Linked DNA regions of Lytechinus pictus. The protein of the gene in region 1 purifies or fractionates together with the protein of each later gene. This does not show direct contact. Links are inferred from orthologs where the notes say so. Each region holds a gene or a part of one and is shown in the gene's direction. Other genes may lie near its edges.

Evidence for each region.
Region 2: the proteins of myb-binding protein 1A-like protein (region 1) and NAD-dependent protein deacetylase sirtuin-7-like purify together in Homo sapiens (affinity purification with western blotting; 3 studies listed by BioGRID, with this or other methods). This does not show direct contact. The link is inferred for Lytechinus pictus from reciprocal best matches to the Homo sapiens genes MYBBP1A and SIRT7.

Annotation. Positions count from the first base shown.
Region 1 is NC_087246.1:16,071,461-16,087,921, forward strand, and holds the start of myb-binding protein 1A-like protein, read left to right. Parts: upstream 1-8,517; coding exon 8,518-8,532; intron 8,533-10,306; coding exon 10,307-10,411; intron 10,412-11,680; coding exon 11,681-11,764; intron 11,765-12,482; coding exon 12,483-12,554; intron 12,555-12,933; coding exon 12,934-13,044; intron 13,045-13,671; coding exon 13,672-13,794; intron 13,795-14,281; coding exon 14,282-14,374; intron 14,375-14,834; coding exon 14,835-14,946; intron 14,947-15,862; coding exon 15,863-16,041; intron 16,042-16,461. UniProt on the Homo sapiens protein: May activate or repress transcription via interactions with sequence specific DNA-binding proteins. Repression may be mediated at least in part by histone deacetylase activity (HDAC activity).
Region 2 is NC_087254.1:24,732,454-24,749,228, reverse strand, and holds the start of NAD-dependent protein deacetylase sirtuin-7-like, read left to right. Parts: upstream 1-10,075; 5' UTR 10,076-10,098; coding exon 10,099-10,257; intron 10,258-11,266; coding exon 11,267-11,404; intron 11,405-11,856; coding exon 11,857-11,961; intron 11,962-12,465; coding exon 12,466-12,542; intron 12,543-13,436; coding exon 13,437-13,509; intron 13,510-15,913; coding exon 15,914-16,012; intron 16,013-16,496; coding exon 16,497-16,733; intron 16,734-16,775. Other genes in the region: uncharacterized protein LOC129269347, read right to left, coding at 3,091-3,257, 4,845-5,000, 6,034-6,193, 7,154-7,247, 9,863-10,008. UniProt on the Homo sapiens protein: NAD-dependent protein-lysine deacylase that can act both as a deacetylase or deacylase (desuccinylase, depropionylase, deglutarylase and dedecanoylase), depending on the context. Specifically mediates deacetylation of histone H3 at 'Lys-18' (H3K18Ac).

The DNA of each region.
Region 1 (16,461 bases):
TGAGCCAGAAGATGCAGAATTAAGTTTGGTATCGATTTGGTACAAATTGGTTCAATTTGCATTCGCTTTTCATTTTCAAAAACATACATAAAACAAACCTAACGAGAGAATTCTTATATATATGATATATATATTTTATATGATGAGAATTGTTCAAACAAAATTTATAATGATATTTATAATTAGCAGGGTGCTACATAACTTTTTTGAAGCACTTGCCCAGTCGGGCAAGTAAATTTTCAAATAGTTGGAAAATACTTGCCCGAATATAGATTTCACTTGCCCGAAAAAATCCTTCAAAACAAAGTTTTATTGCTTCAAAACAAGTTATAGCCTTATGGTTCATACCACACCATTGATGGCTTTAAAAATACATTTTTCAACATGACTACTGATGTACCTTGTAGTTGTATTTCTTTTTTTTTAATGATTTTTTTCTTGAACATCATGACAAATATATGGTCAATATGCTCTTTAATTAATTTCCTAATCTCATATATTTTCCATATATTTTGGAGGGGACTAGGACACAATAAAAAAAGGGGAAATCACTGAAAATAACCAGAAAAAAAAAGAAATTAAGAGAGGGGGAGAGAATGAAAGAAAGACAGAAAGGACGAAGAAATAAAAAAATATAAAGAAAGAAAGAGAGAGAGAGAGAATGGCTGCGGGGAAGAGAAAGATGGAAAGAAAGGAAGGAGGAAGGGAAAAAAGGATGGAAAGAAAAAAGAAAGAAAAAAAAAAACTGAGGGGAAGAGAAAGGAAAGAAAGAAACAAATAAAAAAAGAAAAAAGTTAAAAAGAAAGAAAGAAAAGAGAAAAAGAAAAGGTAAAGGATTGATGGAAGGAAGGAAAATGGAAAGAAAGAAAACAAGAGAAAGGAAAGAAGGAAGAAAGAAAAGGTATGATAGATGGAAGGATGGATGAAAAAAAAAGAACGAAAGACAAAAAAGAAAATCAGAAAGAAGGAAAGAAAAAGAACGGAAGAAAGAAGGAAGGAAAGAAAAAAATAGGGAGAAAAAAACTGAGGGGAAGAGAAAGGAAGGAAAGAATAAAATAAGAAAAAAGGTAAAAAGAAAGAAAGAAAAGGTAAAGGATTGATGGAAGGAAGGAAAAGGGAAAGAAAGAAGACGAGAGAAAGGATCGAAAGAAGGAAGAAAGAAAAGGTATAAGGGTAATAATAATAATAATAATAGTTGGATTTGTAAAGCGCTTTTTGCCAGAGGATACAAAGCGCTGCTATTATTACCCCGGCTTTAGCTCAAGCTACCATCACCGGCGCTCAGTGCATGCAAGGAATTACTCCTTACCTGGTCGAGTGCAGCACAGTGTGGATAAATTTCTTGCTGAAGGAAAATATGCCATGGCTACGATTCGAACACACGACCCTCTGTAGATGGAAGGAAGGAAAAAAAGAAAGATAAAACGAAAGACAGACAGAAATGAAGGAAGGCAGAAAGAAAAAATAGGAAAAGAAAGGATGAATGAAAAAAAGAAAGATCAAAAGAACGAAAGACAGAAAGGAAGGAGAAGGAAAGAGTGAAAGACAAAAAGAAAGGAAGGAATGAAGGAAGGAAAGAAATAAAGAAAGAATGAAAGTGATGAAGAAAGTAAGGAAGAAAAAAGGCAGGAAGAAAAGGTAAAGAATGGATGGACGGAAGGAAGACAGAAAGAATGAAAGGAAGGGGAAAAAGAAGGAAGGATTAAAGAAAGAGGTAAACAAAGGTTGGATGGAAGGAAGAAAGAAAAAAGATAGAAAGAAAAGAATGACAGCTATAGTAACAGAAAAAATGAACAAAAAAGGAAGGAAATTTAAAGAAATACAGAGAGATTCAAAAGAAGGACAGAATGAAAAGAAAAGAAGGAAAGATAGGCAGAAAGAAAGAAAGCTCAATCTATCCAGTCATAAATAAAGAAGAAAATTTATAAATTTCCTTGGCTAAAAAAAATAGTTACGAAAGAAACCACGTTTATCAACATACACACAAATGCATATGTGGGACTGTCAAACAATGTATTTCAGTGTGTGCAACACAGACGATCATTCGAAACCCGATCTTTTTGAAGCATAACAGAAGTGAAAATTTCTCCTTTTACTGCTTACAAATGACAGAGCTACCCCAATTTTTAGGAAATATGGACATTACAAGAATTTTCATTGGTAAGAAATGTGAATTTTGACAGTTCTGTGGGAGATTTCTTCCAGAGAAAACTTTGTTCGTGCAGCACCGTACTCCGTAGAAACTTAACTACAAGCATCGGTTGCGTGTATGGACTAGGCGCTAGCTAGCTAGGTATGCTAGACTGCCATTGATTCTGTGTGTGTGTGTACGTCTCTGAGCTGTGTGTTTATTGCAGAAAATGGCGCAAATTTTGCAATTCGAATCATGACTTATAAACTTTTTTGAAAGAAATTAATGATATTGCTTTTTTTGTCTCTTTTTCTTTTCTGTATTTTGATGGTGAAATATGGGAAATCTTTCTAATATATAATTTCTATAGGAGAATTTTGCTTCAAAACACTTGCCCGACTCTAACATTTACTTGCCCCGGGCAATCGGGCAAGCGCTTATGTCGCACCCTGTAATTAGTGATAAACAAATTCATGATAATACCTTACCTGATGAGGAGGTAACAGATGTTGTAAAAAATGAAACCCCTAGGGGAAGTCAAAGCCGGCTTGAAGCAAGAAAGCAGATGAAGAATTCACACTAAGTTGGTATCCAAGATGAGGTAGTACTCCTGAGGGATTGACCAACACGTCATGACCAAGACAGTCCAAGGAGGAGAATAGACACGACACCACACTGGATGCTGGGAGAGGGGAAAAAAAAAGAGAAATGATGCAACCAAAATTTATATAATATTTATAATTAGTGTTAAAATAATTCATGATAATACCTTACCTGATGAGGGGGTAACAGATGTTGTAAAAAGGGACACTGCTAGGGGAAGTCAAAGCCGGCTTGAAGCAAGAAAGCAGATGAAGAATTCACACTAAGTTGGTATCCAAGATGAGGAAGTACTCTTGAGGGATTGACCAACACGTCATGACCAAGACAGTCCAAGGAGGAGAATAGGCACGACACCACACTGGATGCTGGGAGAAGGAAAAAGAGAAATGATGCAACCAAAATTTATATAATATTTATAATTAGTGTTAAAATAATTCATGATAATACCTTACCTGATGAGGGGGTAACAGATGTTGTAAAAAGGGACACTGCTAGGGGAAGTCAAAGCCGGCTTGAAGCAAGAAAGCAGATAAAGAATTCACACTAAGTTGGTATCCAAGACTGAGGAAGTACTCTTGAAGGATTGATGTTTGACAAGAAATTGACGCAGGAAATAGTAGATAAGGGGAGACACCACACGCCAATACTGCAAGTAAAAGAGATATCAACCAGATATGAATTAGTACTCTTTGTAGTTTGTAGTTACACTATATTTTGTATTCAGTAAGGTACATGTTTTCAAGGGGATACATTATGGAAATGTTTACTTCTGATCCACTTTGTTTAGCATAATATCTTCAAGTCTCCTTTCTCGTAGTCATCCAATAGCTGATAGGAGTATACTGATGTGTCACCGTCGTACGTTGCGTTATACCAGGATGGGTAGCCAGGGACCTGGCTGATACTCTACCAATGAATTCTTTCTCATCTCCATCAGCATCTTTGAATTTATGTTGTACCTGGGGGGATAAGGGTGGAATAAATGTGATGAGTACATTTCCTATATACATTTTCTTTCCTTTTACATTTATGAGAAATTGATTTTCAAGGCAAAATAATAGAATAGTAAGAGTGCAAATGCACAACTTACCTAAAGAAAATGAAATAATATTCAATAATATAAAATATAACAATTGCATAATGCAAATTGTGAAATAATAATTTGAAATAAGGAAACAAATAGACAATAAATGGTACCAAAGTATGTTATTGCAATATAAACATGTATATTGACAGCAAAATAACTGATATCAAAATACTCAAATCATACTGAAAATGTACAAAATAGAATAGATATTTGATGTAAATATTCAGTAAATGAAATCATATGAAACATAAAAAAGTAGATGAATTTACATACCTGAAATAAAGTATAATACCTGAAAAGCCTTGATAAATAGAGCAGGTTAACACTCATCTGGATTACCCATACTAATACAATGAAATAAGCTTATGTTAATCAGTTTTAATATTCAGGATTCATAATGGGCTGACATTATCGTACAGCAAGAATAACAAATGAGGTGTTTTTGTATTAAAGCATAATACATACATGTATTATGCAGCATAATTGGACTTACAAATCAAACTTTTTTTACAGTTCATATTCAAGATCTGTTCATTTTATATTTTAATTTGTGAAATCGTAGAGTATGTGATGCTGCATTCTCTGGATTTAATAATGCATATCTTCTCAAATTTCTAGTATACAGTCTTTTTCTGACAGAGGTAATTCTCACCCTTTTTCCAACAAGAAGAGGCTTGTCACCATCCTGGCTGGCTGAAGGAGGGAGAATGCCGCCTTTATCAGCTCCTTCACATTCTTTGCCAGTTCTTCAAAGGAGAAGGAGCAGCCTCTCCAAACTGAAGTGATACACGTCTGGCGAGGGAGGTGTCTGTCTTAGCACAAACTGTCGAAATCTCAGCTGAGCCTTTAGTGCATTGATCTTAGAAGAATTTGAGTGAAGCGACGCTAACATCTCCACTTCGTGCTCGCTTTGCCACAGACCATAATACTGGATCTCAGTGGTGTACTTCTCCAGCTCTTGAAGTTTTCTTCTTTCAATTGCTTTTTCTTTTGCTTTTCCAAGCCTTTCCTCTTCTGCTCAATGATCTTTGACGAACTCTCCTTGAAATTTTGATGCACCACTCTTGCTTTCTTCCTTGCATCGTCTACCACCTTTTCAGCCTCTTCCTTGGACATCTGTTGCAACCACTCGGATGTTTCATTGAGTGAAAACAATGGTTGCTTCATTTGCAAGCAGGGTGGCATTTGGTCTCACCTTCATCAAGTGATCAAGGTATGCAAAGACTCGCTAAGCATGCTTATTATGCTTGTCTGTGCTAGTAGACGTTGCTCTTGTGGAGTCATCAAATTCTGTCAGATATTCACTATGAGTGCTCATTACCTTTGCCAAAGATGGAAGGGCATTCTGAAGAATTGTTTGTGTGAGACCATCACTTTCACTAGGTTTTACTAGGCACTTAAAGATAGGGTCTTCCTCAACCCTGATATGTACATCACTCAGGTCCCCTCATGAATTCCTCTGGCCTTTCGCTCCCTTGCTTGAGGGTGTCTAGAACCTTCCTATATATATCTATAGATATCTAATATGTGCTTGGACTTCTAGGCTCCTCCAAAGGGGTGTGGTGACCAGCTTGCTGATTAGTCCAAGCGCCCTGCACCCTGCCAAGACGTATGGCTCTTCTAGGTCGGCCTTCACACTCTTGAGCAACTTGTTGGGCACATCAACGGAGCTTTCCAAGAAGCTTTTCATTTGTGACGAAAGGAAGAAGATGTACGCAGCATTGAAGAACAGGATGTTGAACCTGTTCCCTCTCAAGGGAACCAAGGGAAGCGACTTCATATGATGAGCCTTTAAGAAATCCTTACAATATACCTTGAAAGGACCATGCATCCCGGATTGCTTGTTGCCTCCATGAGCAAATGCCTTTGAGGATGTCTTGATCAATCGGATGACGCTGTTACTGTCATGAAGGAAAATCCTTTGGACGCAGCACCTAGCTGTTGTCCCTCAAACAGCTCTTTTTCCACTGAAGAAAGACCTTTCTCACTCACTTCAGCATACTGTACCAGACTGTGTAGCCCACAGAAGGATGTTAGTTGTTCCAGTGGTGCTCTCTCGTCAGCAGTGAGGTTGTCCCAGTTTTCAATCAGATTGGGCAGCACCTCTGTCCGATGCAGTCTCAGAAGCTCATGCCACTTTAGTTCCGTGGCTGCCCTGTCGGACATGGTGTTCCTGATGTTCTTCAGAATTTTTTGCCCCGCTGTGCGTCCTTCAGCTGCTTTGTCAATGTCTCGTAATAGCTCCTTGAACGTATCAAGCGTATCCGAAGCCGATTTGGTAGCAATATCCCTCAGACCCAAAACGTAATATCTCTTGTCACTGTCGGATCCATGGTAGCCCAATATCTTCTCGCCATATTTGGAGGTCTCGTCCGTATACAAGGTGGTGTCTTCTTTTGAGGAAAATTCGCAAGCTGGTTTTGAGCCACACAGAGACGCTGAATGTTCATATTCTCAACAGTCGTCTTGGAAGGGAGTCGCTCACATTTCTTCCCTGTTAGATTCTCAATCATACTCTGGTTACACCTACTTGGTTGTCCAAATCATAGACGCAGGTGGTTAGTTCTGTGTTAAAACACCGCTTGTCATCATCAAACGTTGGAATTGTTTCGTTGGTGAGATAATCTATCCTCTCTTTTAAATCCTTATTTTCACTTCTGAGAGTGACTTCTTCCTTTTTGATTTCCGCCATCTCGGTCTCAAGTTCTGTTATTCTTTCACTGTCTTCATCTTTCTGATCCTGTTTCATTTTCGTGCATTTCCCTCGATAATAATTCTCTCGCTCCCTTGTCCTCTTCAGTGAGGCACGAAGGTTGGACGTGCAAGCTTTTTCTACTTCCAACTTACTTTCTGTCTTTTGGAGTTGAGTGCTCTGTTGCTTCAGTTCACCGGAGATCTTGGCTGTGCCTGCTTCAAACTTGCAATGTGTGTGATCATCGCATATATTCTCTCCTCTAGGGTGCCTCTTACTCTCCGTCGCCACTGGAAAGCGAAATTCCTGAGCTAGAATTAGGTCTCTCCGTTCTTGAGCAGCTGCTACTTTATCCTTCTTCATACGTTGAAGTTTTTCCTTCACTCTTGTAATGGCAGAACCAATTGACTTATCCGGAACATTATGCAACCTATCCTGAAAAATACCCTTCAGGTGTTGAACTACTGCAGTCACATTCTTCTGCTGCTTCACGAAATCTAGAACATCAGCGTGAGAAACGTTGGCGCGAGATGCGCTTTCTGTACCTTTTAATGGATGTAGGGAAGAAATGGATTAGCATCATAAAGACGGGGCCGCAGAAAGGTTTTGAAAGTGGGGGTGCGGGGTGAATATGCATAAAATCATAATCAGATGGGAATTTTTTTGTTTTTGTACACGATTTTGGGAAAAAGAAGGACGGGGCTGAACGCCCCAAGGCTGCCCCAAACCCCCTGTTTCCGCAGCCCCTGGAATAGAATTTATTTTGTATTTCACACTGATTTTTTGTTTTTTGTTAAATGTATCATCATTGAACTTCTATAATGAGCCAGTGTTGAAGCCATACTTCAAAAAGATAATCTAGAATAGTAATTAATATAGAAATAATCATTAAAATTTGCAAAGATAATTTTTAATAGCCATTTTTTATTTTTATTTTTTACTTTCATTCTTTATACAAAATACAAACATATACTGTGGATCACCCTTGAAAACATGCAAATAATGCGGTTTTCAAATTGGCAAATTTATTTTTGGGACACGGGGTATGCAAAATAAAATGCAAAAATGATGCAGCTGTGGTGGAAAGTAGGTAAAGGAGAAAAGCAAAATATACCTTGAAATAAAATTATTTGCACCATGAGTAAAAGGTTCCCAAATATTGAATAAGAGCATGTGTAGGAAGAGATAAGGGGGAGGGCTTTAGTATTCATGGTTTGAAAAAAAAAATAGTCTAGCCTTGACAAAAACATGAAGCAGAGAAAAGGGTCATAACATAAATAAATCTGTGCATTTATCATTTAATAAAAAAACCTAAACTAGAATCAAGCTTTTTATTTGTAGGGTCTTACTCTTATTAACAAGGGATACAGGCTCCAAATTAAAAAGTGGGGGTGAAGACATCACATGACAGCCTGGCTTGGTCACACCCACTTATGCATATGGCCATACGATAATACGGGCAGCATTTGTCATCATAACTAACTGTTAATTCATCCCTGCAAATCATGAACACAAACCCACACACACATCCCAGCCATAGATTTGTAAAGTAATATAATCTCACTTTTTATCAATTTAATAAATAGTATTGGCCACTCTCACCAAAACACAAACATTAAATCGCACTCTTCACAATATTTCATCATAATCAACATTTTTCAGTACGTGGGACTACACGTTAACACACTTCCGGGTTCTCGGACGCGTCTGGGGGCGATATTTACGGAATCTGAGAAGGGACTTTCCCTTGAATTTACCGCTTTCGCTAAAATTCGTGGCTCTGAATGGCTACTACAAGTTTGGTGTCATTCGCCGCGATTCAACAAATAAGATAAAAAGTGCTGCATCATTGAAGATACCCCTACTATTCGCGCTAAACAGCTCTGAATCGCACCTATAATTCGAGTTTATCAAAATCTGCCGTTCCAGAGCCCCCCAAAAGTATTTAAAAATATGAAATTTCTTATGAAAAAGTTGCCAAAGTTCTTACCTTCCAGAGAAGCCATGTTGCAGTGCATTGTGGGTAAGAAAAACATTGAAATCAAGCTGAAAAAGGTCACCCTCATAACCCGGAAGTAGATAGCCAGTGACAAGAAATGCTTCGTGAAATGAACTACGGTGGAAAAAAATGAAGTGAGAAAACTGGATTTCCTCTAATTAATCACATTTATTCGTCAAAAAAGGAACAAACATTGAATGGTAAACATTTTCAATCATATTATTGAGATATAACAATGTAATGGTGAAAAAAGGGATTTCGACATCATTTCATCCACCCCTGTTTTGTGTACTGTTGGAATAGGGTCTGGCAAATGAGGGGATTGTGTGGCATCGCTACTCCAGTATCGATCGAAAATTATCGAGACTTGGCAATTTCATGCATATTCACGCGACGCTCCGAAACCCGGAAATCAAATGATATAAAGCATGGATTGCTCAACTTGATCTCTGCTCTGCCACGGGTCATAGAAGATTATATCCTGAGTCATCAACTCTTTTTCTCTTATTTGCTTTTCCTTCCTCGCTTCTTTTCTCAATTTCTCCTTGAGCAGATCATTTCGTTTTTGGACAATTGCTTCTCTCCGTTCTCATATACCTTCTTCATTTTCCTGGCATCTTTTCGAGCTTCCTTGATTAGTCTCTGACGGTCTCTTTCCTCCTTCATGTTGATCCACTGACCAGTTTTGTTCAATGAGAACATAATCATCCTGACTCTGGTGATTCGAATTTGGCCTTGATCTCGGAAGATGGTCGGCATATGCTAGGACACGTTCGGCAAGTTTGTTATGCTTTGCAACACTTTTGGTTACATCATACATGTCTGGAGAGGGGCTGAAGTGCACCCCACCAGGAAGATGCTCACCGTATTGTTTTTTTAGAAGACCAGACATTGCTGGAAAGATGACAGACAAGAAGACTTGTACATCTGCATCATGTTCTGATGTCTTGATTTTCACTTTACTGGGAGGAGAGTTGTTCAAGTTTAATCCTTGCAGCATCAAGCTCACCTGTCTTCTCTTGAAAAGATGTATGCAATTGACCTATTTCATTATCCTTATCTTCCATCGATGTATGTAGAACTGATGCCACTGTTGGACCAGCTTCAACATCCATATCATGGTCAACATGTTTACGTTTTCTAGTCGCAGCTGATTTTCTAGGAAACTCGTAAGGAGATGAGAGGAAGCTTTTGTGCCCATCTGTTTTGCGGGATTTATTTTTATTTTATTTTTGAATGCACGAAAGAGGGCTTTAACACATTCTTTGTAGGCTGACAATGTTGCACAAGATTCGGTCCCCCATTTGCTCAAATAAGTTGACTGCAACCATTTTGCACAATTATTATGGCCATTTTCCCTTCTTTGATCAAGTACTTTACCTTTAGATAACTCTAATTGTTGGATATTGGATTGATTTTATTCCTGGGGGGCTTGCACTGGCCACATGTATGAAAATATTTGATTTTCCCGCCTTCAAAATTCAATGCATCGATTTTTGATCGAATTGAAGCTTTCGAACACCGGTTTACAAAATAATCAATGACTCGGGCCTAGTTGTGATCATCACAGAGATTCTCTCCTATTAATTTTCTTCTGGCCTCTGTTGTCAGTTTGACACCGATAAGCAAAATTCCTTTGCAAGAACTTTTCCTTCATTCTTGAGATGGCCAAACTGATCGATTTATCAGGTACATTTTGAAATCGGTTTTGAAAAATCATTAACATCCTCTACGTATTCTGTACCACAATGCAATATTATAAAGATCAACTGTTTTTGTTTTTCTTTTATCCAGGATGAGTACTGTTCAGAGGTATCATATAGTCTGAGAAGACTTGTGCGAGGTCTAGCTTCATCAAGGAAAGGTGCTAGACAGGGTTATGCAATAGCCCTTACTGAAGTAAGTTTCAAAGGCAAATGCTGCAATTATTTTTAATTAAAAAAAAAAATTGGAGGGGAGGTGGTGGGATTGATGACTTGAGTTGTAGTCCCAGCAAAATTTCAGATATCTTTCGGGATCCTCTTTTTTGGGAAGCAAACTTGGTGTACCAGTGAGAAATCTTTCGGGATCCTCTTTTGGGAAGCAAACTTGGTGAACCAGTGAGAAATCCTTCCGCTATCCTGTCTGACCAGAGAAAGTTGAGGTAATGACCATCAGGCATGTCTAGTGCCATTGCATAACGTCTGATGGTCATAAATCTTGTTCTATTCTGGATATATCCAGATGGTGTCAGATTCCCCGGGAAAACAAATTAAACTGTACCTTTAAAATTCAATACACGGTAACTTATATGTTATCAGATATAAATGAAATATTTACGCTGTAAGCAATTTTTTATCGGATAATGTACATACACTTGCACGCTGCACTTCACCAGTACGACAATACACCAGACGGTGGACTGTACTGTTTCCAGAAGAAGAAGAAGGTTAAGCTCGCGCTGAATTTTATTCCATTTATTCAGATATCAATGTCGGTCTGTAGTACCCCTTTACAACCACTGTATATACACAAAATACAACTGCAGAGATCTATGAGCCTCAACCAATTGTGCTGTATTGCACCAAACTTTCATTCTGTTGCTGGCTTCAAGCATTTTCAGGTCATGGAGAGTGAGATATTCACATCACCATACCAAACAATGGGCGAAATATGCAGAGCATTGCATATTGATCACATAAATACATTTCATTTTGGTGATGGGCGATACCTGTAAATGGGTATTACATCCAAAATTGCCCTGCAAGCCCAGTGCTTTAGAATCTGTAATTTTATCATTTCTGTATTTCTTGTTCATCCTTTTTTAAAAACAAGCCCACCTCTACAATACATTGATATGAATAAAAGAGATTAAAAAGATGAAACAAGCCTTACAATGATAATTCCATGAAAATTTGATGAAATATAAGAAAGTTTAAACCCACTTGGAATTCAATTTTTGTTTATTGTCATATGTCAAAAACTCACAATGTTTCTTATTTCATGAATTAAAAACTGGTGATTGCATGACATTGTCAACTCTCATTTTCATATCATCCATGATGTGCCTACCTTGTGGCTTAACACAAAACTGCAAATGTCATTTATTCTTTTTTCTCTCTCATATGATTTTTTTTTTTTGCTGGGATGGACTTGACCTTGTTTTTATGTTTTGTCTCCTTTTTTCAGTTACTTTGTAAGGTGAAAGAGATAGCTTTGGAAGATGTATTCAAACTTATGAAGCAAGAACTTCAGGTGTCTGGAAAGAAGAGTGTAAGCATTACCATTTCCTCACTTATAGGCTGTTTGATAACATGCAAACCTAATGATCAATTGTCGTATGGTAAGCCAAGAAGACATGAAGCGAGCTTGGTGGATATGGTATCTGTGACACACTCCTAAATAATATCTTATAAAATGTATTTAATCTTCAAAATTAAAACCTGGTAATCCCTGGAGCACCTTTTGATCTATGAAATAAACAGCATGCGAAATGTTATTTGAAATTCTACCCATTTTCTGATTTATTTTCTTATTTTGGTTTCAGAAGTGGGAGGGGCATGCTTCCCTGTAATGTCCATGTATTTGGCAGTATTTTTTAAAAATAAAATCTATACATCTTTACTTTATTTGCATGTTAGCAAGGACAAAGAATGAAAATGGGTGAAAATGTTGATCAAACATTACTGGAAAGCACTTTTTATTCCCACAGGCAAATCAAAGGGTTAAGTTTCCATTTCAGATGTGTATTTTGATTTGTTTCTTCTTTAGGCAGGATACAAAACTCGCAAGCCAGCTTTGCTAGGACTATCAGCAATATCAATGAAAAAAGCATTGATAATTTTCATTTTTGCATCATTAAAAAAAAAAAGTAGTAGTGATGTGATTTAAGCCCACATCATTTACTGATATATTTTGTTATTTAAGTTCAGATCATAACTTTATTTTGAAGATTCATCTCATTTGTAAATATTTTATATGCAACAAACAGGAAGAAAAGGAGTATGCTTTTGGTCAAGTCTTTGCCTATCTTGCTGTCATCCAGAGTGGGAGACTCAACAAGGTGTGTATACAAGTAGACAAGTCTGCTTTATCCCTTCTATTTAAGAAAAATAGGTACATATTGCTTAAAGGTCAAGTTTGCCTCTTACAAAATGTTGATTTGAATTAATCAAGAACAAGGCAATAGCCAGATTGTGTCTTGCCAACTTGTGACTACTTAACATGAAGGTTTCCACAAGTGCATCCCTAACCAAGTTTGATTGCACAAGAAAGTATTGCTGGTAAACTTGAATGTCTGACTTCAAATGACCTTTGACCTCACAATGTGACCTCCAACACAATAGCGACGTGATATTTACCCCAGTGCATCCATGGCAAAAGGTAGTTGAAAAGGGAGTAGGGGTTGCAAAGTAATGTATGAATATATGATTGATCTTCAGCACAATGGAGCGGATTCTGTGTACGTCCTAGAGCAGCTACATGCCTTGTCAAAACAGAAGTCATATCTGCAATTGATTTGTCTTCAAGGAGTCATTGACCTTATCAAGAGAGTAAGTACTATTGATGTAGTTGAGAGAGAAGTTCTTGTTGAACAGCTCTTGCAGCCTCAATATTTTTTAGGCCTGAACTACCACTCAAAAATGGAGAAAAGATATTATTGACCTATTTACTTGTTAATTGTATTCAGTGCATAGAATTTATATTTTGTAATGTAGTCGTATAGAATAAAGATTTTTTTTTATTTATGTGTGCATGAATTCTATGTACCACCAGAGTTAAGTCTCCCTGTCTGAAAGTAAGATGAAATTTAATAAATACATGTATGAGAATTTAAGATAAACATCCCTAATATTCATGTGGTGTTTTTTTTTATAAATTGTATGCTTAAATTTTCCAGGGAGTTATAGATTGTGGAATTACATGTATGAGAACTTGAAGCAGGGGAGATTGCATAAAATAAATTATTGGGTATTATGATGCTTAAATAAATTCTTATAATTTACAGGAGTTTCCTGATATGTAGGAATTAATTCCTTGAAATGCTTGTGCACTCTAAAATGTTGCCGGGCTAAGGCCAGGGTAATAATATCTTAAGTACTGTCAAAGCTCATGAAGACGTTATGCAATACACATGAACGGAATATAATTGTGCAATGTTTGTATTCCAAACCCTTTAGTCATCGGCCGAGCTATTCTCTGATCACATATGGCCTATGCTGAAGTCTGATTTGAAGCAAGGATGGGAGGATATCTCACCCAATAATTTGGCCCTTCTCATGGTCTGCAGACAAAAGTTTCCAGTAAGTCCCCAAGATATTTGTTATATTCTAATTATTTGCATGCCCCTATTATCACAGAATCTAGTTGATTATCGACCAGTCATAGATAAATAAATATTTTTTATATTTAAAAGTTGATTTGATCTTTCACTGCAGTCATGTTCTTGGTAAGGCTAGTGAAAATTTTGATGTTTATTTTGGCTCTTCATTGCCAGGAAAATAGAGAGGTCTGAAATACAACGTCTTTATTAACCTTCTCCCTGTCTGCCTTTCCTCAAGTTTTCACTAATCTTTCCCAAGGTTTTGATCTATGGCAGCTCATAATATATTGGTAATGTGACATGAAAACTTATTTACCTTCTGAACTCCATTATAATTAAATGAATAAGAAATAATAATTGAATAACAGTGACAATAATAACAAATAAATTGTTCATGTACAATGCTGATGCTGTTTCCAATTTGATTTAAATCTGAGGAGTGCTGCCTTTTTTGTGTTTCATTCTAGGACGTTGTGAAATCCAAGTTTCTTCAGAATCACTATGGCCATGTTGATCTGGTTCACCCAAGCAACTTCACCCACATCATCCAGATTCTTACAGTATGTAGAATGACTGGGTTCAAACTATAGATTGTATATTTGATTTTCATGATTCATTTTGAGAATTTTAGGAGTCTTATGTAGTGTAGTAGAATAATACTTTAGTGAAAAGTTTCTGTGCTCTTAAAGTCTATATCATTAATTAGTATTATTATACAATTGATTATACATTTGACCAATGCAATCAATAGTGAAAATCACTCCTAGTTTAATCACTTATTTCATAACCGATTTTCATGAAACTTGTTTTGAATTGTTCCTCTCATTTTACTCTTTCCAATAAGATTCTCTTGGATTTTGGTTTCCTTTAATATCAAAAACTCATTGTTAGTTATCTGCATACTTGTTTGGCATTGCAACATGATGGTTTACTGATAATCTCTCATTTCAAAATTCAAAGAGTCACAAGTCAAAAGCTTATTACTCGTGAACCTCCTTTTGAATTTTATTCATTTTCCAGAAATCCACCATGATAAGTCATCCTATTGTCCATCCAGTGTGTGATATGTTGCTAGCATTGGTCTTCCAGGATTCATCAAAAGTGGCTCAGTTCTGGAAGGTTGTTGTAGATGGTAAGTTTGTGGGACTACCACCCCCATAATGATTATGTTCCACTTTCATAATACTGCATGTCAATCCCATGTTTTGTAAATCAGTCAATCCAAATTACATATTTTACTATCATTCCTACTCATCACTTGTTTTCTTGTCTGCACACATACTCTCCTTCTTTACTTCTTTGGGACTATCCACTCCTTGGGGAAGGATTCACTATATGAATTCATTTCTAATATCATATTATTTACACATTCATGTCTTCTTTACAATTCAATGTTATATACTTGGCTACAGTGTTTCTCATGTATGAACTCTGCACATTCTCCACTCCTGGGGTCCTGTTACTATTACGGTAACTTTGCCACCCAGTGCTTACTTCCATGGAATCCTTGATTCTGATTGGCTGTTGACCATTGTCCCCATGCAAGTTACCATTGGATGGCAAAGTTACCATAATGGTAACTCCTTTGCAACGGCCCCCAGGAATGTATTCCTGCCAGTCGCAATGCTAAGCACTCACAATGCTCAATGCCTGCTGTATGCTGGGTGACACTGTAGGCAAGGCAGTCATGAAAAGGAAATATATAGTAGAAAGTCGCAGGTCAGACCAAGATGGTCTGCTCCGGGTTGGTATATCAATGACCAGTCCGGCGTTCCCACTGCGGATATTGAATGTCTGATCAGAAACTGCTGCAGGTGGTCCTGTAAATTACCTGCTATGATGGGCAGACAACATGAATGAGTTTAATTTTGAAAATGAAAATACAATGCCATTAAAATGTTTCTCTCTGAGCTTCCATTTGATATCTCAAATTTTAGAATGTCAGTAGAAATTTCAGCATATTGTATTAAATTATATATGAAGTTCTTGGCTATTTGTATCATGAAAATAACATTCCTACTCATTGGTAAAAAATTGTTTGTACGCAGATGGTCTGTGCACTTCTAAACACGAAACAAAGTACCTGGCATTTTCCTTGCTGGAACGAGCAGTCCCCCTGTCTGAAGCTAAACAACTGAGGGCACTGTTTAGTGAGAAGCTCATCCGTAGTATGATCAACAACTTGGCTAACAAGCAGGCTATTCTCCATTCAGCTGCTCTCAAAATGGTAAATACAAATAAGTTATAGGATGCTAATCTTATAGGTTTTTGTTGCAAGAGCCTTGGATTAGAGATAGACTCAAGAGAAAATTGGACAGTTCCAATTTGTCATTCATCATTTGTTTTGTGATTTTATTCTCACCTAAATTTGTTTCTTATCTGTTGCAATAATTTAGCAATTGACCAAGAAGAGAATGTTCCATCACCAACAAACTGGTCAGGGGCCCGTTGCAGAAAGAGTTGCAATCAATCGCAACTCTAAAAATCATGCGCAACTTGATTTTCAACCAATCAACAGCGCGCATTTGGGACTTGCGATTGATTTTTTGACTTGCGTTTAAACGCAACTCTTTCTGCAACGGTCCCCTGATCAAATTAGACAAATCAAAAGTAACCAAGTAAACCGAGTGTCAATGAGACCATCAAA
Region 2 (16,775 bases), on another chromosome or scaffold:
TCCTAGAATCCTATTTCGGAAGAATGGTCCTAGGAGTAACGTTAGCACGTTCCTACACATCGCTCATCTCGTCATAAAACAGGCCCCTGCTGTGGGAGGTGTGCCGAGCCGGCCTACGGCACGGGCGCCCGGCTTGGCCGGGCAGCTCGCAAGGCCAGGCCTGATTGAGGCTGAGCTGTCTCGGCTGGGCGACCGTCGGTCGCTCAGCATCAGCCAGACAGCAAATACATGATGTTACTATGCAAATTAAATACAAGCAAGAACACAAAGTGCCTAAGAGGACAATGCCAGCACTGTTTGTGAAGTAAGATCACGGTTAAATTGATACTATCGAAAACTGAAAAACTCACCCGCAGGAAATTCTCAAATTAACCGCTACATTTCGAGTGAAGATAGTCGATGATATTGCACAGAATAGAACGTTACTTGAAGCACGGTACGGTATCTGTGACTGTTCTTTACATTTTTTTTTAGGGGGGGGGGGGGGGGACTGTATTCACTCTTTCATGGGAGTCCGCGCAAAGGATTATCTTTTGTGCTGGGGGGGGGGGGGGGACGACGCAACAATAGATGTCCCCGCCATGAATGAATGATAATCCTCTGCACTGACGCCCATGCACTCTCTGCCCCACCCAGGGACCAAATGCCTTATTTTTTAGTGATAACCTTCCCAGTCCATGGCTGGACACACACACAATAAAACAAATCAAAGGGAAAAATAATTAAGAGATACCAGGTCAAAATACATTGCCTTGAAAATAAATTATTTCTATCTTTAAAGAGATATATCATATTTGGAAAGTTTTTGGAACACGTTCTTGAAGCTTAAAGAATCACAAATTTATATTGGTAATGATAAATTAAAAAACTATTGCCATTGGCTAGGTAATTGACCTGAAAATTGAAAATAATATCCCAGCATATTGATTAAATTAGCATAATCTGTCTCCACATGGAAATTTAAGCACCCCCCCAAAAAAAACCCAAGAATCGGTAAATCATGCAATTAGATTTTTCTCAGGTAAACCTACTACCTCTATTTTTTGTTTACATAGCCTACATAATATGATTTCTGTTTTAAACTTTGTCTGTTACTTTCACTATATATTCCCCGGTCGCCTCTTTCAGTCTCCTCTCGCTCTCTCTACCTACCTATCTACCTATCCATCTCTCTTTCTCTTGTTTTCCTTGTGATTTTAGTTCTTTCACTATTAAACAATTTCCTACAACACAAATTGAGCAAAACAGAACCACCCTAAGATACTATTTACCCATACATCAACTTTGTTGGGCATGAATAAAATTAATATATTCTTCAAGATATGTTTTTTTTAACCATGTTTCAATCATTTATTAAGGCATGATTAAATATTAAATATTTGTTCTGCTTCACAAGAAACATATTTCATTTGAAAAGTTTTATTTTCTTATTTGCATCTGGCATTACCTGGAACACTGAGTAAAAGACGACGTTCTGTTTGTGTTCAAAACAGTGCAAATTGTTAACATTGGAATTATTCACATTATTTAAATACCATTTCAACATGCATTTGAAAATCAAATTTTGTACTGTTTCCAGGTATAGTGTCCACTCTCAAAATTCTTCCTCCCACTTTAATGCAACTTAATGCTTGTTGAATGACGATGAAATGTTTTAAAGCACAGTATTTCAGAACAAATTGGAAGACAAACATTCTAGGAAAGACATTTTAACAGCAGCAAAATAAATTCTATGAAGATAATACTGACTTGAATTCACACCCAAAGTAAATACATGTAGTAAATGCATTTTCAAATGAAGATCAAATTTTGCATAATTTTTTGATATATTTGGAATTTGCTATAAAAATGAGAAAAAATATTCAAAAGAACAATTATTTCTCATGAAAAAAACTCTAGAGATATCAAAGCAAATAAAAACATGTACATTTGAAGCTTGGTATACATAAGATCTTATAAAATATAACTGGTGTGATTCCCTGTTGTGACATGTTCAAACTGTCATCATTATTCATAATACTTCAACAAGGCTCATTGAATACATAGTATATATTTGTGCTATGGAGCTCATAGTACTGAAGTGTTATATGCGATCCTCTATCACAAAACGACCATTAGGACTTTTAGTATAGAGACCCGACAAGAGAAAAGGGTGAATCACATGGCACATCAAAATGTTCATTATTTGGCAACATTCTGAATTATTGATCTTTGTTTGATGCACTCAATACTGACTGAAGAACAAGTCAGAAATTTGGAGGGGGAAAAATCCACTGATCATGAATTATCTTTGAAGCCAAACAAATCTCATGCTTTTTTTTTTCACAAAGACAGATTTTTTTGGTAAAATTCATCACTATCATGATTCTAGGGCTATGTAAATAAAGGTTTACAATCAATACTTAATGACTATTGGCTAATCAGGTTCATTTATTTAAAACACTGACCAGGAATCATTCTTTTATACTTGTGTTTAATTGTAAACCTTTCTGTTAACAGGCCCAGGGGGGTGTTTCACAAAGATTTAAGTATGACTTAAATCGCACTTAAATGCCGACGCGTATCTTAAATGCAACGTGCAATCTAATTGATCAATATACAATAGTGCGCGTCCTCTTTACATGATCTCACCAATGCGGTCATGGCTTTTATACCTCGCACAACTAGGCATTTAAGTGCGACTCTAAGTCATAATTAAATCTTTGTGAAACACCCCCCTGATGGTTTAAGCCAACAGAAGACAGGACCAGGGTCCCGATTTATAAAGACTTGTTACAATAACAAATACACAATTTTTTTACAAGTTTACTATCAGCCAATCAAATCGATGAATTTCAGTAGCTTTAAATTGTAACAACTTTTATGAAATGGGGCCCAGGTCTTTCTGCAGGGAACATTGCTCAGCATTAGTTCCTTGCAGAAGGCAACTGAAACACGCGGAGTGGGGTTCGTACTAAGATACAAGGTACAAAGTACTGTTAAAATGCTTTAACACAAGCAAGTAACAATTTAGATCCCCCTATAGCAGCATTGTAACCATGATTAGATACTGTGGGAATGTTTTGAAGCAGGACCATGGGAACAAATATTTTATTTCTTTCTAGGTTTTTCTTCATCCCCATCTCCATCTCCAGTGCTCTTCCTCTTGTTAGATGGTCCATTTTTGGTTTCGAGTACAGAGGGGTCTAGCTTACAAGCCATGTAATGGGTCCATAGGGCCAGTTCCACTTTATGCGGGGTCCACTCTCCGGAGGGATCTGGACAGCAAGAATGTTAAAATGAAAAATCTGAAATTATTGGTGAGCCTTCATTGAAGACAACAGGATATAGTTCCTCCAATAAGTAAAACATGCAGTGGTTTCAAGTACATATTAAAACAAATCAGAAGTCTACAAAAAGTAATTATAAGAGGAGATATAACATACTGTTTGGTGGTACATTACATAATTCAAGGTTGAATAGGCAGTGAACACGACATTAGATGGCACAATATAGGAAATGTCCAGTGAGCGGAGACAGAAAAGCTTGAATACATATTTCCAGATGAAATATAAGGAAATGGCAAAATTTAGATTAAGAGCAATGTTTTACATGGTAGTAATGTACATTGTAAGTACTAAGATTTGTAGAAAAAACAAGTGGAACGCCTCTGGCGGTCTCACCTGCATCACGCGATTCAAAATAACAGCAGTGCTGACTTTGAAAACTAATATAAAATAATCATTCACAAAAAACACCATTCATATAATGATACAATACTACATTCATTGACATTTGACCTTGATCATGTGACCTAAAACTTGTCAGTGATACTTGATTACCCCTATATCCACATTTTATACACTATATCTATATACTTTGAAAGTAATGACAGCAATCTAATAATAACCTCTAAAATGGCCAAAGTTCAATGACCTTTGACTTTGGTCATGTGACCTGAAACTCGCATGAAATGTTCAGTGATATTTGATGACTCTTATGTCCAAGTTTTATGAACTAGACCAATATACTTACAGAGTCATGATGGTAATTCAACAAATACCCCCAATATGGCCAAAGTCCATTGACCTTTGACCTTGGTCATGTGACCTGAAACTCGCACAAGGTGTTAAATGATACTTGGTTACTCTTATTTCCACATTTTATGAACTAGACCAAAACACTTACAGGGATATGATGGTAATTCAACAAATACCCCCAACATGGCCAAAGTTCATTGACCTTAAATGACCTTAGACCTTGGTCATCAGGTCATGTGACCTGAAACTCAAGCAGGATGTTCAGTAATACTTGATTAACCTTATGTCCAAGTTTCATGAACTAGGTCCATATATTTTCTAAGTTATGATGACATTTCAAAAACTTAGCCTTAGGTTAAGATTTTGATGTTGATTCCCCCAACATGGTCTATTAAAGTTCATTGACCCTATTACATTTGACCTTGGTCATGTGACCTGAAACTCAGGCAGGATGTTCAGTAATACTTGATTAATCTTATGGCCAAGTTTCATGAACTGGGTCCATATACTTTCTAAGTTATGCTGTCATTTCAAAAACTTAACCTTCGGTTAAGATTTGGTGTTGACGCCGCCGTCGGAAAAGCGGCGCCTATAGTCTCACTCTGCTATGCCGGTGAGACAAAAAATTCAATTAAAAAAATACGAATTTTCAGCTCACTCACTTCAACCACTTAATTTTTTTTTTACAGAACACAACATCACATTATTAAAATCTCAGCCCACTGCAACATTTATACCACTGGTCAACTATCCACCCTATCCACATGGGATTTTAACTGTTCAAATTCATTCTCTTTCCACAATCTCCTTCCCATTGTACATTACCTTCCTTTTTGAGTCTCTTCACACAGTCTTGAACCTCTACTGCATATCTTTTATAAGCAGCTTCAGTGTAAGCCAGTGGGGACAGGCCTGGAATAGGCAACATACTTTCATCTGCCATGAATGGGGCATGTTCAGGGGCTCCTGCTGCTAAGACGGCTGACAAGAAAAAAAGAAAAGAAAAGAATTGAAATGAATTAATATTCCATAAGTTAATGATTGTTATAGCAGCTAAATCATTTGGATAGGAATAAGTAATATTGCTCAACATTTAAATCAACTGCAATACAATAGACTCAAGTACACCCCCGGTTGATGCTTCATGTATCTAAAATGCAACCTAAATGACAAGATCTACGCTTTGAAACTTTAAATGGCGTCACAACCAGGCAAACATTTCTACCCTGAACATGGAAATCCAATTATTTGATACCGTTTGTATAGTGACCCCTCTACACTGAAAATGAAGATAAAAGCATTGAAAATAAAATAACAGCAACGTGATTTTGATAAAACTACTTATAAGGACTAATTTTGAGATGTTAGGATGAGCAAAGGTGCAAACATCACTGATCCTTGAGCAGACCCACCCCCCATCAAGCAAGGATTCTACCTTGAACTGTAACGTACAGTATCCAGGGGACTAGGGATATACCTGGGGGCCGTTTCATAAAGCTGTTCGTAAGTTAAGAGTGACTTTAAGAACGACTGGTGATCCTTACGCGCAAAACCATCTCTAATGAATATACCATTTGCCATAAGAAAGGATCACCAGGCGTTCTTAAAGGTATTGTTTAACTACTGAGCAGCCGATTAAAAAAATTCTCAAACCAAGATGAAACATGTGTACAAGTGCATGTATTAGAACTAATAAACCCTGAAAACAACCATTATTGAGAATGAAAAGCTAAAACTACAAGGCAAACCCCGATTTTGTAAATATATAGGCGTCTTATAGACGCCTAAATAGTACACATTTGGGATGAAATTAAGATGATGTTTTCGGTCACTTTATATTTCAATTTTTGAAGCACTAAATAATTATTTTCGAACGCAATTTTTTCTGGACTTCATTTTTGTAACATATCACAGACACAGGTAACAAGTGTGACCTTCTAGCTCAGATTTTTTAAAAGTCAAACCAAAGTTAACCAATCACTTTAACTTACAAACAGCTTTATGAAACACCCACCTGATGCTGTTGCTGGACCAACTGCCTTTAGCACAATCAACTCTTTGATGGCAGCACCCACGTTGGGTAACTTCTTGAAGGCTTGTCGGCTAGACTTCTCAACAAGGTCTGGGCTGTTGGTCTGGACCATTTCAGTCAATCTGGGTCGGAACTTTCCTCTCTGGTGAAACGAGAGAAAATTGAGAATATGAGTGACATCAGAAAATTCTGATAAAAAACAAAATAGAGGAGCAAGCTATAGGTGTTTCTAGCTAGCGGCTAGCCCCTGAGCTTTGAATACTTTGTTCGATTAGAATGTTTTGATGCTACTATAAAGGATAACCTCAAATGTAATGATTCTATGCACTTTAAATATCAAAGCGGTTCTTTAGTTATTGCAACAAAAGCAGCAAAAAAAAAAGAAACAAAAACCCACAAACAACAACAGCAACAAACAATATAATTCCTTTATGTAAATCCTTAAGCATACAGCATAACTTGAGGTCCCAGGGACAAGTCTCTTTCTGTACTTAGGGCCCTGTTTATAAACAACTACAAGGCATCAACTGATATTTGCCGCACTAAATCCAGGTGTAGTGGTTTGGAAGAATTCATATCACGAAAGCAGAAATAATTATATGTAAAAACAAGGAAAACAGTTGTACTTGGGACCCAATAGTCATCAGCCTAGTATATAGTATAGCAAAGTGTCCTTCTGGGAGAGTTTGCATTGGGCTGGGGAGTTATCCTATAACCCAAAGTGCAGAAGTGCCTTCCAACCAATGGCCCGTATTCTGAAGTCAGGTTTAACTTAGACTACGGTCTACTCTGTGCTAAAATTATGGGAAGCCAAATTTAATAAATCTGTTTATATTGTATATTTCTCATGTTTACTATTTCTTTTTCTTTTGCTCTCATAATGAAGAAAAATACTTCAGTTATCATTCCCAGACAATTATGAACAACTTGGGTGTCATATGATTTGATAAATGGAATATATACTGTACCGTTAGGGATTTGTCCCCCAATTGGCTCTCCATAGTTTAACCACAACTTTAAACCAGGGTTTAATTTAAACCCGAGTTCAGAATACGGGCCACCAAGTCTCCAATCCCTGGTAAATGTAACAGAATTTACTTACACTCAATTTCCACTTCATAAGCTTTGTTAACTCCTCATGTGTGATGTATCTTTCTTTCCTTCCTTGTATTGACTGTGAAAGTTCTGTTTGAAACCTGTATACAACAACAACAACGACAATAACTCACTTGTCAGTTAAAAAAGAATGCCAGAGTATAATCTGTAAGACCTACAATTGTATGATTACAATGACTACACTGTACATAAATTATTGTCCTATTATAAATTTGATGTTACCATTATCAACATCAATATCATCATCATTGATGTTAGCTATATCTTTATTCATTATAATTATCATTATCATTAAAGGGAAATCTAACCTTCGTCATAAAAATATGTGAGAGAGGAGAAAAACAAGTAAAAGAGTACTGGTAAAAGTTTGTAAGAAATGGAGCAAGTAATAAGAAAGTTATAACTGTTTTAAAATCAATATCCCTAAGACTATTACATTTCAAATTAACTGAATAAGTAAATTATAACAAGTGGCAGGGACAACTTCCCATAGGCCATGCACTTAATTATCAGGGATTTGTAATTTAATCCAAGTACCTATTCCCGTGCCAGGGCAGTAATAAAAATAAATAACCAAGGTGAAAAAAATGTAACCAAGGTAGCACATTAAAAATCTCATCATTAAAGAAAAATATCATTTGAATTTTGAAATATAACTGCTTTTCTTTCTCTTCTAAGGAAAACTTTTTTTATTTGGGTTTGATTCCCCTTTGATAATCAATACTGTTATCATTATCCCACTGGGGGATCCAGGGGGGGGGGGCAAAGCCAGCCCGTGCCCCTCCCTCCTTTTCAGAGGAACGATTAAAATTTGAATGTGAAGATTTTTTTTTGCTTGTCAAATTTTTTCGTGGATGAAAAATCCTTTTTTTTTTTGGAGAACCTTTTTTTTTTGCTTGTCAAATTTTTCCTTGGGGAAAAAATGTGTCCCCCCCTTTGGAAATTGTGGATCCGCCCCTGATTATCACTTCCATCGATCATCATCATCATCACAAGGGTTATAAATTAGTATGGGTCCTTTATTCCTTGAATAAATTCTGGCAAGAATATTGTTGACCTTTCACATGAAACAATAGCTTGTTAATGGCCATGCATGGATCTTGGTTATTTACAATGTTGTGCAAAAGCACTTTGCAAGCCTTAAGTGCTTGTACTGTTGCACCACAATAAAAATCTTAGAGGGCACTTTATCACCACAATCACCTAGCTGTATTATTGTTCGTTTTATATAAAAATCATTGTTTTGCATTTATCATTAGGGCCTCATAACTGTTATTAATAGTGATAATATCACTGTCTACATTGCAAATGGCTAATAATCTATAGACTCAACAAAGAGAACCGATATGGTGGTTGCAGACTGCAAATGCCTAGTAAATTTACCGAACCCCATTCAAGACAGGCCTGGGATGAAAGGATTACATTCATAAAATAGCCGAAGAATGTGTCTTTGAAACAGATATAGGTCTATATATAGGCAACAATGATACTCCTGCATCAGGCCTGCCTCACGCTGATACTTTTTAGGCTTTTTTTTGGCTCATCTTTCAAAATTCTTTCTTGGTTCTCATACGGTTTAATTTCACACATTTGTTAGAGGATTACTATGGAGTAACTTTACAATCCAATGTCATAATCGATTATGAGAGCAAGGATTTAGTCTTCGAATGAGGCATCACACACACCATCATATCACATAGATCTGTAATTGATTCATGACATTGGATTCTAAAGGTAAGCCATTAATTCAAAACTATATTTTAGAGGTCTATTATTAATAGGGTGTCTGGAGAAAAAAAATATTTTTCTTATTTCAAGAAAATATCACATTTTCTTTGTGAATTTGAAGAGAAATGACCTTCAGACTGACAGAAATGTAACATTTTTGAAAAAAATCCAATTATTGGCTTCAAAAAAGAAGAATGAAATTAGGTAAATTTTCAGCATTTCTCTGCCATAGACTGTGTAGTTAAGAAATGGACACACACAAATCCAAATTTTTAGCTTCCGAGAGCTGTTATAAATCTATTATTAATGCCAAAAACTTGTCCATAAAGATCGAGTCCAATAGGATTTTTTATGCTCTTTCTGATGGTATGATTTTTATAAAGATTTGAAAACCAGATCACAATGAAAAATTGCGACAAAGTGAACAAAATTGTGCAAAACAGAAATTTCATTTTCCCATAGAAAACGCATGGAGAAATGGCAATCTCAACACACACAAAAATAAGGGTTTGCAATTTATCTCTAAATCCTTATTTAAAATGACCATATAAACTTGTCCTTACTGTCAAAAGAAGCCCCCGAGTTTTCTCTTTCCATACATGCCAAACACAAGTTAATAATCAATTCAGATCACATTTTTCTAGTAGCCTGAACTTCCCCGAAAAAATGTGCCATATTTTCCCCTAAATTAGCCTGTTTTATGCTGACACTTTTCAGTGTGGCTTCATTATCAAAATTGTTTTGTATTCCTAGCTGACTATGATAATTGATAGAAACAAAAGTCTATTTCATATCCCAACCACTAACTAACTTAATAAGAACTAATCGTCATGTTCGTCAGGCCATATCCCTTGTCATGACTGATGACTGACTGGAAATCATCATCAGCAGATATCTGATTTGTGTGTTGTCACTCAGTGAATCATGATGATGATGATTCAGTCCTCGACGCTCGACCCCGTTTTACCACTTGTCAAGGTCCAGCAAATTCTTGCTCCCACCAGGTTTCTGGATCTTAGAAGCCTTGAGATTCAAGACATGGTTGTAGAGTTTAAGAACTTTTGTCCATTCCTCAGCAGAAGCCGTCTTGAAGAAATTGGTGGTTGCAGACATAGCTTAATGCGACAGGTCTCAGATTTTAAATGCAGTATGCACTAGCTCCTTACTTTTTGTGCGTAATTTGTCTCGTTGACTTATTTTGAAATGATCGAAAATTTCAGTTGCGCGCCGTTGGTCAAATTGAGCGGAGGAATGTCTGGAAAATCGTCTTTAGCAATAGATAGACCAGCAAGAAAATGTCGGAAAGTTTCTCATACGACCGCCCTTTACAAAAAACATAAAGCGAAAGAAAAGGAAAGTCAGGTAAGGGTGTGAAATAGAAAAGAATATCAATGTGAGTTATGCAAAGCAAATTTTCCCCGTGACACATGCCCCATTCGTTAACATCTGTGTGGGGTCTCGTAATTTCTCGCACATGATTGTCAAGTCTCGGACTCACTCGAGCCTCTAGACAAAAGTGAATGAACGCGCGCATTTACGCATCCGAAAAAAAATTCAATATGCTTAAAACCTTGCAACATCCTTCCAAAGGGAACTTGATTGAATAAAACGATGAAGAAAAATGGTCAAAAACACATTTTCAAGTTTGTTGAACATGTTGAACTTGAAGTTGAACTTGACGGGCCTCGGACTCGGAGGCTCAGGCCTCAAAGTAAAAATAAAGATATAATAACTAGCACTGTCATTTTGTTGATTTCTCAACTTTTCCCACAGAAAATACATGTTCGGTAATAGTTAATACAGTATGATGGGGTGACCATAATTTGCGCACATTTTTTTATCATGAAGTTTATTTTCAATCAAAAAAATTCTCACAGTTCACACTACATTAATCAAAATCATAAATACGAAACGGAAGGCAAGATTCAATTCCAAAGTCAAATTAGCTTGACGGAATTATAAAGTAGGCGAAGTGTTTCTTTCGCCGGTATCGCGATCTCAAAATTCCATGACGATCGACTAGTGCGTGCTCGGCTGAAAATGTGTCATAAAAAAGTGTGACCTTAAACTAAAGGCTTAATTTGTGCATGATCGTTTCGCAAAGCTTTAGAAAATAAATCACTTACAAAGGTAAGATAATTGTATCAGATGGAGGTTAAAATGCCATAAATTCGGTTGATGTCATATTAGACTTATTTGGATACCTCTGCTTGCAAACTGGCGATTTCTTGATGCTTGTCGAGAAGTTCGGATTTTCTCGGAGCAGACGCAAAAGCTAACACAATCGAGGCAGTTCACAAATTCGGTCAGTTTGTCCTGAATCGGTTGGTCAGCTTAAAATTCACATTGAAATAATTTATTATCATCCCAGGTAAGGGCAATCCTGAAGAAGAACCAGGCTGATAGGAGTTCAGAGGAGGAATGCATCATCAAACAAAACAAAAAGGTTGTCAAGGTTCTGGAAAAGAGGGCGCAACTGAGGGAGCTTAATCGTCAGAAATCGCAAGAGGTATGGAGACATTGGTCAACCCTGGTTGAAATACTGAAATGACTTGAATAACTGAAATAGATCCCAATGTCAACACATGGCATTGTCTGGTTTATGTTTTTAAACTATGTTTTTAAGCTTGGTGTACAGCTGGAGGTCATGAATGAACTCTTTACAGCTGGAGGTCATGATGAATTTTTTACCCAAAGTCCCTAGAAGTCGATTTGACCTATATCATCAGGTATAGAGGTTTGAAAATCTACATGGATGGAATTAGAGTGTAAGGACTGGTATGGGTAATGATTAAAGCCTCGAGAGAGATTTTGTAAAGGGTTAATGATTATATTTGAGTATGTACCATTCCAATTTTACATGATTCAATTTTCGAATTTTTAGATATGTAGCACCCCCTTTCAGATCTTTTTTTTTTAAAGAGACCCTTTGAAATAGTTAACATTTTTTTTTCTACAAAGATTCAAGATTCTGCTGAAGAACTAGAAATCAAGGTTTCAGAGCTTGCAGAAGCAGTAAAGCATGCAGAAAACCTGGTCATCTACACAGGAGCTGGAATTAGTACAGTGAGTAATGATGGTAGAAGTTTTGATATCCAACAAGAGGTGGGCAAGATAGGTGTCAAAATTGGCCTTATTACAGAACCAAATTGTACATTCTAAGCAGACTGTTTTCCTAAAAAATAAAAAGTAGGGGCTATACATAACACATTTACATGTATAGCCGTATAGCCCACCCATGTGAGTTACATTGTGGCTTTCTGATAATTTTATTTTGTCTAGGAGATGGGCTCTCTGCAGTGGTAGGTTTTCTCCAATAATAAGATTTGAATAAGTAGATAGAAAAGAAGTGTATGTTTTTACCCTTCAAGGGAGGGGGCTAAATCTGAAAAAGAAAACACTATATGACTAAATGATGATTAGTTATGTGGAAAAGCATATTATCCATAAAAGAGTGATATTCAATTTCTTTTCATTTTGTACAGTTTTTGTTTAGCATGAATATATCTGTTCTAGGCAAATTTTTCATGCGTGTTGAACCTCTTGTGTAATTTATTATGATTTTGGCAGGCAGCCTCTATCCCCGACTACAGAGGACCAAATGGAGTATGGACATTACTTCAACAAGGGAAAGGGAGTTCACTTCAGTAAGACAACAGTATTTTCTTTTATATTTTTACTCTGTGAACTGCACCAATCATTATAGTACTATACACTATAAATTGACACCATACAGTACACTTAAAACAACATATAATATACTTCACTAATAAAGTGCTTACTCTTCACTAATTACACCTTCACAAATTGACACACTTGAAACACCATATGACATACTTCACCAATTGCATATAAGGCAATTTACAAATTAACCCCATATAATCCTCTTAACCAATTACACATACACTTCACAAATTGAAACCACAAACACACTTCACTAATTACACAATAGGCCTACACTTCACAAATTAACACCTTATACACTTCACAAATTGACACCATAAGATAAACCTCATTAGTTTTTACACCAAATAATTCACTACACCAATTAACACCAAATACTAAACATAAATCTGTAATGCTGCTATTTATCTGGCTTGATATGAATTTGACACCAAAGGATTTTTCCTGGCCATTTTCAGAATTCTAATAATCAAAACCATGGTTTAAAACTGTGTTTAAGTCATGTGATGCCAAACATGTCCAAAAAATTGTTTATACTAAATGGGGAAGAGAAGCAAGGGCATATAAACATCCAAGGCTAATTAAGGCCATGTATTTCATTGTATTCGAATCAAGCTCTAATTATCATAGATTGGGATTGTATATCGCTTTTCGACATTGCCTAATTAAGAAATAATGTTTGTGTTGATTGTTGTCATTACTATGCACACACATCTGAACAGTTTACAGAATGTGATCATCAGGATACACTCATTGGAATATATAGTGAAATTCAACATTATTATTTTGATTGTTATTATTTCATGTGTTGAATTCGTAGCTGAGAAAGCTTTCTTACTTTCTGTTTTGTTTGTCAGGAACAGCTCTTTGGTGGATGCAGATCCAACCCTTACTCACATGGCTCTAGCCAAGCTGGTGGAAGAAGGCATGGTAAGCTCTTAATACCAATCTTATATGACTACAATAATGATTTATTCATCCATGCATTCACTTTGTTAACCCTAATTCTCCCGGGGGGGGGGGCCATAATGGCCCCCCCCTTGACAATTTTCGCGATATATCTGCTGCGCAAATTTTTTTGACCTCGCCGCTCACTGACTTTTTACTTTCAAGTCTCGCGCAAATTTTGAGACCAAATTTGTGACGCCCGGGTATACGGTTACGACATTACGCAACATTATGTAAGTGCATGTCAGACCCAAAATTGCTCATAAACGTGATTTCATGTACAAATCCAATGCAAATTGTGTATTTAGCCAAAATTCATAAATGTATCATTATTTCTAGTTTTACTGATTAAACTGAATTAATTTTGCCTTGTTTATGATCAGAACTAAGTCTGGAATGATTTCCATTGAAAAAACAATAAAAAACAAAAAGTAAAAAAACAAAGAAATACATAAGAAATTCATAAAACAATAAAATACATAAGAAATTGATTTCCGAACCGAAGTTTTTTTAATTGCGATTGTTAAGATTGCTACAAAGAATTTTTTTACCAAAAATTAGCATTCTAGGAGCTTTATTTAGTGAATTATAGCAAAAAGTATGATTTATGCATAAATTAGCATAATTAATTCATATAAAATAAAATCTCATTATTTTGGAAAATTTTACCATACAGCCTTGCAGATTACATTGCACACTACCAGTGTGCAAATTTTTGCGTCGCTCGCGCAATCGGCGGCCGAGATCTTAAGGGGGGGCCATAATGGCCCCCCCCCCCGGGATTGACAAGAATCAAAATACCCCGGGAGATTGAGGGTTAAATTAGTATTACTTCTCATATTGAATTTTTTTATCAGTGGATTAATGACTTCATGAATTAATGTATATATTATTATAATTATGATAATCATACATGTTTGTATAGTGCGTATCACTTACTTTAACAGAAATCTCTTTGCGCTCTACAGTAATGCGGCATAATTACCTTGACTTAAGCAGAGCAGCTGTCACATGCTCTGCGTTTCAAGGAATAAATTCATGCAAGTACCCATTAACCTCACATTGTTTGAGTTCAGGACATTGTGGATCAATTTCTTGCTAAAGGGAATCATGCCATGGCTGGGATTCAAGCCACAACCCTCTCTTTTAAAGTCCAGAGACTAATCCGCATGTATTCATTCATTGATTTTTCTTATTTTTTTTATTAATTGATTTATTGGTATGTCATGATTGACAGAGGCCCCTGTTACAACCGGTAATGTCGCAGCAATACCTGATGTCTTATTAACGGGTTATTTACATCTTGGATCAACATTTTATCCACAATCCGGAAAGTGTGACTGGGCCTGATATTAATGCTCTAATAGGGCTTACATTTCTATGCAGTCGGTACAGCCCTTTATAGCTTTTGGCTATCCAATGGTTTGGCATAATTGGGAGCGTCACATACAACTTTACACATGCCCGATGACCTGTTCTTTGGTGCCAAAACAGATTATCAATCATTTTGATTTTCATTTGATAAAGTTTAAATCCAATATTAAACTTTCAGATTTAAATTCTTGTAGTAATTAAAATGCAAAGTTGTCTATTTGTCAACAATGTCAGAGTGGTATCTCGTAAAAGCCCCTTTATTATCATGTTACCAGTTTAAAAAAAATCAGAAGGGTATATGATAAAAGTCCCAAATCATGTTAACAGTTGTCAAAAATTTCAGAGGGGTATCTTGTAAAAGGACCTTATCATGTTACTAGACCTGTGTTTTTCATCTATGGCCTTTTTTAAAAGTGTGATCTATATAGCTATATCCATTTTTGTTGTGTACATGAAATCCACTTTAAGTAAATTTTAATCCATTGGAAGAAAAATGCCAGCATTGTGGATGCCAGGTTGCTAATAAATTTGATTTAATTCAATTCTGTCATGTTAAGTTGTGTGTAAAGTCATGCTAAAGTTTTGCATAAGTAATTAAGTAACACCAACATTAACACAAACACTGAGGCCCAAATTCTGAAATCAGGTTTAATGTAAACTCTGGTATAAAGTTGAGGTTTAACAATGGATAGCCAATTGTGACACATTCTCTGAAGGTAGGCCTACAGATTCAATTTATCAGCTTAATTGACACTCAAATAATTCAGAACTACTAGGAAGTAGTAACTAAAACAATTTTATTCATCATAAAAACATAACAAATGAGCACATTAAATATTAGAAATATATAATGTAAACAAAGTTTTGATAATTTTGGCTCCCCATAATTTTAACACAGAGATAGATCATGGCCTAAGTTAAACCTGAATTGAGAATACGGTCCTAACAATCAACATTCATAACATTGATGAATGCTGAACATTGATTTATTTTTGTATCAACCCTGTTACAGGTGAAGCACATTGTATCCCAGAACTGTGATGGTCTTCACTTGAGGAGTGGGGTTCCTCCGGATAGGTTATCTGAGCTCCATGGAAATATGTACATTGAGGTATGCTGTTGATCATTATACCAGCTTTACATCATACAATGTATAAATCACTCATATACTTGCTATATCAGAAGTCCCTAAAGCACTCTATAATAATGCAGTATAGTGCACCCTGGGTAATGAAATATTATTATTGTCTACATTTTACCATGTTCAGGCACAATATTTTACAAGAAGAAATTGTGTTTTTGCTCAATATTCCTAGCTATGCTTGATTTGATTGGGAGTGACTTCTTGGATTACTTGAGCTAAGCATAATGTCTAGTTTTTGTCAATCAGTGGGAAGCATTTGAAAATGTTTATATTTCATTTGTTATATATGCAAATATATCGTCAAATATTAATTTCTTATTACATTTGTTTCATAAATTGATTAGTTTCTATTTTTTTGTTTAACTTCCCTTGACAACTATGATATTCCTGTCAACTATTTTCTTATGAAGTAATTTGATGTCTTTAGAATGTTCCATCTTTTCATTTGTAGGTTTGCACAGAATGTGAGCCAGAGAGGCAATACGTGCGACTGTTTGATGTTACAGAACAGACATCGCTCCGGAGGCATAAGACAAGTCGGGACTGCCACAAGTGCAAGGAACCTCTAAGAGACACCATAGTTCACTTTGGGGAGAAGGGAGTGGTAGACAAACCCTTAAACTGGTCTGGTGCCATGGATGCTGCTGAGGATGCAGATGCTATACTGTGTTTGGGATCCAGTCTAAAGGTAAATGCACTTTGGTGAGAAGGGAGTGGTAGACAAACCCTT